Linked DNA regions of Ovis aries. The protein of the gene in region 1 interacts with the protein of each later gene in a biochemical or structural test. Links are inferred from orthologs where the notes say so. Each region holds a gene or a part of one and is shown in the gene's direction. Other genes may lie near its edges.

What was found.
Region 2: the proteins of SLX4 (region 1) and EME1 form a complex in vitro, tested with the Homo sapiens proteins (3 studies listed by BioGRID, with this or other methods). The link is inferred for Ovis aries from reciprocal best matches to the Homo sapiens genes SLX4 and EME1.

What each region holds. Positions count from the first base shown.
Region 1 is NC_056077.1:3,523,102-3,526,733, reverse strand, and holds part of SLX4 (structure-specific endonuclease subunit SLX4), read left to right. Parts: coding exon 1-128; intron 129-1,521; coding exon 1,522-1,743; intron 1,744-3,482; coding exon 3,483-3,632. UniProt on the Homo sapiens protein: Regulatory subunit that interacts with and increases the activity of different structure-specific endonucleases.
Region 2 is NC_056064.1:36,034,199-36,038,577, reverse strand, and holds the start of EME1 (crossover junction endonuclease EME1), read left to right. Parts: upstream 1-1,539; 5' UTR 1,540-1,792; intron 1,793-3,071; 5' UTR 3,072-3,096; coding exon 3,097-3,880; intron 3,881-3,963; coding exon 3,964-4,091; intron 4,092-4,379. Other genes in the region: MRPL27 (large ribosomal subunit protein bL27m), read right to left, coding at 1,438-1,477. UniProt on the Homo sapiens protein: Non-catalytic subunit of the structure-specific, heterodimeric DNA endonuclease MUS81-EME1 which is involved in the maintenance of genome stability. In the complex, EME1 is required for DNA cleavage, participating in DNA recognition and bending.

The sequences.
Region 1 (3,632 bases):
GGTCCCGCGGACTCAAAAGCACAGGGCACCCAAGAGGCCAGAGACTGAACCAGCTCCCCCTGAAAACACCGAGGGAGGTGTACACACTTCTGCTGTACTCCAGGATAGCGCATGGAGCACCCAGACAGGTAACGGTCAGAACCTCTGCCAGAGAGGACACCAGAGGTGATTTGTACCATTTTAAACCAAGGATCAGAAAACTTTCTGAAAGCTAGTAAGTTTCTTTGGCTTTGCCGGCCATACAGTCTCTGTCACAAACTATTTCTTAGACGATGTGTAATTGAATGGGCTGTGTTCCAGCAAAACTTCATTTACAAAAATAGGCAGCCTGCCCAAGACCATAGTTTGCTGACTCTTGTTTTAAACAATAGTCATTAAGAAAATAATCATAACCGTTGTATGAATTCTCTACATGATATATTTGGGGCCATCTGCTCTTTCATTTTCCTATTAACGTTTACATCATGCAGTTAACATGAGTTTGTGGTGGTTTTTTTTTTTCATGAACATAAAAATAATGCTACTTCTCTCATTTTCTTGGGTTCATTCCAAAGTGGGTAAGTTACAATGGGTGAGCCAATTTGGTTAGACTGCTGAGAAGGTAGAAGGCATATGCTATGTGGGTTTAGAGTCCCAGGAGACTCTTCTTGTCCTTCCTATCTGTTCCAAACACCTTTTATTCTTCTCTGTTTATTTGTTTAAAGCAACTTGCTCACCCTGCTGCCCTGGTGTATTAAACCACATGCTCAACATATATTCTTCATGCAGAACTGAAAACCAGCCTTGCGTATATAACACAGCGCAAGATCTTTGGACTCCTGAGTTCTGTTTCTAAATTTTTCTCACCTTCACTTCCTGATCTTAAATAATGTTTTTTACCTATGTGGTCAGCAAGGCCTCCCCAGTGCAGTGGTGGTAGAGCCTTAGCTCACAGAGACTGTTGTAAGGCTTCATTAATGTTGCCGAAACGTTTTGGTCTTTCACGCTTCCTTTGAGAGTATAGTGAAAGCTATGCTTGATTTCCCCCAGAACACTGCACTGCTCCCCCCAAAAACACACCTGCGAGGGTGACATGCAGCATCAGGGGCTGCATGGGTCCCCCCAGAGGTCATCTTCAGACACCAAGTTAAAGGAGAACTTCTGACCTAGAAAGATATGTGTCTGTCATTAATAACTCTTTAATAACAGCTTTATAGGGATATAGTTCACATTCTATAAAATTGACCCCTTTCAAGTGGATGGTTCAGCGACTTTATTCACAGAGTTGTGCAGCCATCCCCACCACTTAATTTTTAGAACATGTTTATCACCTCAGAAATGTGCCCCCTCCCATCACAGATACATATGGCAGGGGTGTTTTTATCACCACAAACAGTGAGGCTACCAAAAAACAATCAGTACTTTAGAGTTACACCTAATGTAGTCAGTAAAGGACCCATTTGAAATCTGAGGTCTTTGACACTAGAAGAACCTTCGGTTTCTCCTGCTAGAACTGATGCGTGTGAATGTTCTCCTTGCCAGAGGCCACCACGGACAGCCTCTCGCAGCCCCCTCCTTCCTGTCTGACTGCAACGGCGCCAAGTCCCTCCAAACCCAGGGCGGCAGAGCTGGTGCTCCAGCGAATGCAGCAGTTCAAGAGAGCAGACCCCGAGCGCTTAAAACATGCTTCTGAAGGCTGCTCGCTCGAGGCTGCACCTGAAGAAAATGTCCCAAAGGGCCCTCAAGATGTGATGGCGGTGAACGGTATGAAGGAAGCGCTGTCTTCCCAACAGGGATGATGTTGGGGGAAAGGGGTCAGGAAGGAGCCTGCCTTCTCAGCCAGGGGTGGGCCTTCTGCCCCACGCTCTGCCTTTGCCACTCTGGCCAGAGAACAGAGGGTCCCCTGGGTCATTTCTCACTTAGCTTCTTTGAGAAGGTACCACTTCCTCTTTTTTCATTTTGACTTATTACAAAAATTTTCCCATTCAAAAGAATCAGAAAAATATATTACAATGAAATCCCTATGCCCTCAACCTAGATTTAACAAACAGTGGACATTCTGCCACACCTTTTCTTGTCTCTATAGATGGACACTTCTTCCGTACCATCAGAAAGCAAGTCACAGACATCATGATGCTTCACCCCTAGACTCTCCTACATAACCGCAATTCCATAAACACACGTGGGTCCAGAACACTGCCTGCTCACATTCACATTTCCCCGGCTGCCCCAAGGACTGCTTCTGTAGCGAACTCTTCCTGAACGAGGGTTCGTCACACGCTGCTTATAGCCGTGGCTCAGTAGTGTCTCTGGTCTAGACTCTGTAACAGTCTCTTATCTTGTCCTTGTTTTTTGTGATACTGACTTCTTGAAAAATCCAGGACAGTTGTCTTTTAAAACTCCCCACTTTGTGGATCTGCTTGTTTCTGCCTGATGTCATTTAACCCTTTCCTGCAGGGAAGTGCCATCTGCTGCACATTGTACCATCCCAGGAGGCTCGTACTGTCAGTGGCGCTTTATCCCCTAAACAGCAGGAATCCTCACCCCTGGTGAAAATACACAAAAGGAAAAGAAATAGGAAGAAACCATTGACAGACCTGCAGCCAGTAAATCCATAGTTTCCCGGTATTTACTTGCAGGTTTCACCTCAGGACTACTGAGCACTGTCAGGCCCATGCAGGTGACACAGTGATGTGGCATCAGTCCTTGGTCCACGGGGCACCAAGGGGTGCAGAGGGGTCACTCAGCCAGTGCATGAGCCCAGCCCCTGCCCTGCATGTGACTGAGTTGTTTCCATCAGTCTTCTTCACATCATACCCAGTAATCAGGAGAGAGAAACCATTTCTTTGTTTAAAAAAAGTACTGGACCAAAATGAAGTGTGGTGCTTTTCTGGCCTTGTTCTCAGGGCACATCCCGCATGAGTGCCAAGGGTCTGCTCCAGCAACATCAGGTATGACAGGGCCACAACAGTGGGCACAGCTGCCTTGGGCACCATCCCAAGATTAGAATCAGTCCATCCTCTGGTCTGATGCCAAGAAAAACCAAGAGCAGCATTTGGCTCTGACCTGGAGGGGCAAGAAAAAGTCAGAGCAGTAGGAGAGGTTGAGCTTTAAAGAGGAAACCTAGGATTCCTTGCAGTAAGAGCCTTACAATCCTGGGATGCCCAGGGTTGCCACTTTAGCAGAAATGGGAAACCAAAGGCAAATTCTTCAGGGCTCTGGTGCTCAGAGAGTGGTCCTGGACCAGCAACAGTGGCCTTGCCTGGAAGTTGGCCGAAATGCAGAGTCTCAGGCTCCACGTAGCCCCCCCAGAGTGTCAGCCTCCTGACCTGCACTTTAACGAGCTTCCTGGGGGTCCTTGCGCCTGTTACAAGTTTGGGGAGTACCCTGCTTGGTGTCCAGTCTCCCTGGGCTGGGTCTGGGCTCCTCACGCCCCACCCAGCGTCCTTGCCCTGTGAGGTCCAAGGACGAGCTGGTCCTCATGGGTCCTTGTGTCTCCACAGGGTGTGGACCCGGGCTCCCCGCCACAGAAAGCGACACTGCAGTGGCCTTGGCCCTCCAGCAGGAGCTTGGGCAGGAACAGGCATCCGCACCCAACGACAGCCTGGAGGAGACGGGGTTGTTCTTTTGCCAGATCTGTCAGAAGAACCTCT
Region 2 (4,379 bases), on another chromosome or scaffold:
CCTTTGTCTGGCAAGCCCATTAAGCATAGAGAAGACTGATTGATAACCATGCCCTTGTTACTCTGACCTCTCCATACTCATTCCAAAGTGCTCAATGGTATTTATTTTAAAAAGGAAAGTGAACTAAAATTCATGCTGACCAGGATGGAAGTCCTGTGCTAGGCACAAGCCCTTGCCAGGACAAGCCCAGGATTGGGAATCCTTGCATTCAGGTCTCCAGATACAGCTGTGTTAATCAGGGTCATGCCAGAGTCTTTAGAGAAGCCCTGTGCGACCCTGGAGCCTGTCAGTTCATAGTTTCTAAAACCTAGGTTTCTGAAGTTTTAATTAGAACAGAGACTAGCTGGGACAAAAGGCCAGAGATAAGGACTTAAGAGAGACAACATATTAAACGCCCAGCATCAGGATCTACCTACCTTTAAACACCTCTACATTTGTTCACTCACTAAAGAAACTGGACTTTGGCTTTACCTACCTTATCTCATTCACAAATCTTTCCCCTTCACCCTATACCCCATCCTCCTCAAAGAAAATGATGCTATCACCTACACAGCTGGTCAGGCAGAAGTCAAAGAGTCATTGTAGATTCCTTCCCTTTGCTAACCTCAGGTATGGAGGGAGTCCATCAGCAAGCTCTGGATTCTATCTCCAAAACAGATCTCAAACCCACCCATTCCCCTCCAAGTTCACTGACACCAACATCCTGATTAAACCATCTTTCATCAGGTCTATTGCTACTACTTCCCATCTGCCTTCCTCATTTCTATTCCTACTCCTTTTAAGCTCACAGAGGAGCAAGAGCTTCCTCCTCAAAATGGAAAATTGGATCAAATCATTCTCTAGCCCCTCACTCTCTTGCAAAACCAGGCCTCCTACCATCCTTAAGGTCTTAACTTATATGTTACCTCCTCAGAGGGCTTCCCTGACTACCCAACCTAAAAGAAAAGACACAGACACATTTTTCCCTCTCGGTCACAGCACCTGTAATGATTCACAATTTTATTTATGTGCTTATTTACTGGTTTATCTATTACAAGTAACTTTCCTGGGGCTAGAGACTGTCTTCAGCAACCCTCAACAACTACCAGTGTCTGGCACAAATGCAGACCACAATCTACTGAACGAATGGATTAACTTTTTGAGCGCCTATGTGCCAACGATAGCAACCTATTTTTGTAGATGAAGGGGTCTAAAGAAACCCAGATAGAGGAGGCCGCAAATAACAGCAAGAGAAACTGTAAGAGCCAGCCAGTCCAGGTAAGGTCACGTGCTCCACGCCCCAGATGTCACGTGATCAGCGACTGCCCCGCACATTTTCCCCAGTCTCCTCCTTGCCCCAGGCTCCTCCACGGGGTACCGCCTCCACCCTCAGGCTCCCTGCAAGGTCTCCACTGCACTTCTACCCCTCGACCCGCAACGGCCACGGCGTCCGATTACCAGAAGTCCGGGTCCTCCACGCCAGCACCGCCAACGCCATGTTTTACGTACTCCCGCTTCCGGTGTTAGAGTTGTGCTTCCGCTACCGGGAGATCTATTTCCGGGTCCTGCGTGGCAGACGAAAGAGTGGCGCGACAAGTTGCTGGTGAGCGCTGCTGGGCTGCTGGTGGGCCGGCGGCGCAGGGCCTACTTCCTGAGCCAGGGTCTGCTGGGGCTTGGTGGCCGCGGCCTTTGCCGCCGCGTGTGGACGACCTGTCCGCCGTGTGCCTGCGGGAGAGACGTGGAGCGAGCTCAGCAGGGCGTTGCTTATCCGATACCCGCATTTTGCCAGTTACCGAGGTTGACGCCTCAGACGGTAAAGAAACTGCCCGTGATGCAGGAGAACCGAGTTCGATCCCTGGGTTCGGAAGAGCCCTGGAGAAAGGAATGGCACCTACTCAAGTATTCTTGCCTGGAGAATTCCATGGACAGAGGAGCCTAGCAGGCTACACAGTTCATGGGGTCGCAAAGAGTCAGAAACGACTGACTGAGTGACTAACACTTTAACCAAGGCCTGAGCGGGGATAGGGAGGTCCCTCCCTAGTCGTTCAGCTTTATAGAGCACTTCCTGCGTGCCAGATATAGTACTAAGCTCTATAGATGAATTACTAAAAAAATTTTTTTTTACCTTCTCACATCGTTGTAAAGTAGGTAATGTGACTATCCCTGTTTTACTGAAAAAGCATGGCCGGGACAGGTTACATGGCTCATCCTGCAGTGTTAGTGAGTATGTTAAGATTGTCTTGCGCACCACCCATCAATGGCGACCCTAGATATTTCTGTAAGAGAACGGAAAGCATCCCCACAAAAACTAGGAGGTGAATGTTCATGGAAGCATTCGTAATGGTCAAAAATGGAATCAAACAGAATGTCCACCAGGTGAATGGATAGACAAAATGTGGCACATAAATGGAGTGAAGTGCTACTCAGCTATAGAAAGCAATGAAGTCCTGACACATGCTACAACATGCGTGAACCTCGAAAACATGCTAAGTCACCGGAGTTCACATACTTAGGACTCCATTTCTGTGAACTATCTAGAATACCTAGTAGATTTGTAGAGACAGGAGTAGGTTTACGGTTGCCAGGGACTCCAGGGAAGGGGAAATGGACTGACTGCCTAATGGCTATGGGATTTCTTTTTGAGATGATGAAAGTGTTCTGGAATTAGATAGTAGTGATGGTGATACAACCTTGCAAATATACTGAAAACTGCTGAATTGTGTACATTGTAAAAAGACAGAATTTTATGGTATGTGATTATCTCAGTTAAAAAAAAGAATGACTCTTGAAATCTCCATCTTACATGCAGAGATCGGTAAAGAGATAGTATTGGGTCTTGTTCCTAGCTCATTAACATTTTTTAATAGTAACCTCCACTTTGTTTATACCTCACAGGGATGTGAGGAGGGTTCCTGTTAGACTACAGACATAGCTGTTCTGAGTTCCAGATTCATCGTATTGGACCACATCCTATTTCTCTGTTTCTTCATTTCTCTGTATATCATTTATTTCCATAAAGCTTGGCCATAGAGCACGACAACTGGACTGAATTCATTGCTACAGCCTGTGTCTCATCTCTCTCTTCATTGCAGGGAATTAACCTGATTGCACATACTGATGGCTGTAAAGAAGTCATCACTCTCACTGGATTCCAGTGAGAGTGACTCTGAGGAGCTGCCAACATTTGCTTTTCTGAAGAATAAACCATCTTCAGTAAAGAGGAGGCAGCCTCAGGAGGATGAGAAGATTGTAGTGGTTGACATCTCAGATTCTGAGGCCTCCTGTCCGTCACCAAAATTGAAAGATCCACCACTTGTTCCAGAGGCCGCTGAAACTGTCATACAAACAGAGCCAGTCAGTGTGCTAAGCAGTGGAAGTGAGAATGAGGAGGAATTTATGCCCCTGGCTGAGAGGCTTATTTGTAAGTTTTTGACTCACAAACAGCTGAGCCCTGAAAAATCCAGCTCCCCATTTGAAAGGGTTTTGGATCATCAAAATAATGAAAGAGTATCACGTGACTGGCAAAAACAGCCATTTACAAAGATCCGTGATATTCCTCTCTGTGGTACCTCAGAGAGGCATGCATCAAGTAACAAGGACCCTGTGGTAGACAATCCATGCCATCAGCTGCCAGCCTACCAAACTACCTGCACCGTCCAGAGCAACAGCTTGACAATAACCAAAACAAATGCTGAGGTGCCCCTGCCTCAGAAGAGACGCAAGTATAGTCAGAAGGTCCAGAAGAGCAGCGCACAGGGATGCCAGCAGTGGGGACGAGCAAGCCAGAAGGAGAGCACCCAGAGGCAACAGGAAAGGAAGAAGAAGACAGCCCTGGTTAACAGGCTGAAAGCTCAGAGGCCAGAGGAGTGCTTAAAGCACATCATTGTGCTGCTGGATCCAGGTCCTACCGACATCTATCTTTCTCTCCTGCTGGGTAAACTGCTTTCTGGGTCCTGCTGACAGTCCCTTTCCCGTCTGTTGCAGCGCTCTTACAGATGGGAGGTGGGGGTCAGCTCCTTGGAGCCCTGCAGTCCATGGATTGTTGCTGTGTGATAGAGGCGCAGGCTGTGCCTTGCAGCCTCACGTGGAGGAGAAGGGCTGGGCCCTCTGAGGTAGGGGTTTTCTGACTGCTGTCTCTCCTCCTCCTTAAGTTTTACAAGATAAATATGCTTTTATCCTAAAGGCTATATCTCAGTCAAGGCCCTACCTGGAAAGCAGATGGCACACTCAGTATAAACTTGAGGAGGGTTTAATAAAGGGCTGTTTTTCAAGGTGTGGGCAGGGTGCAAGGAAACTACAAGGGACAGCTCCATCCCGTGTATAACAACAGCCTTTACTCAGTTTCTCCATCTGGGGTAGTGCTGCCATTTCAGATTGGTTAATGCTGCACTGTAGGATTA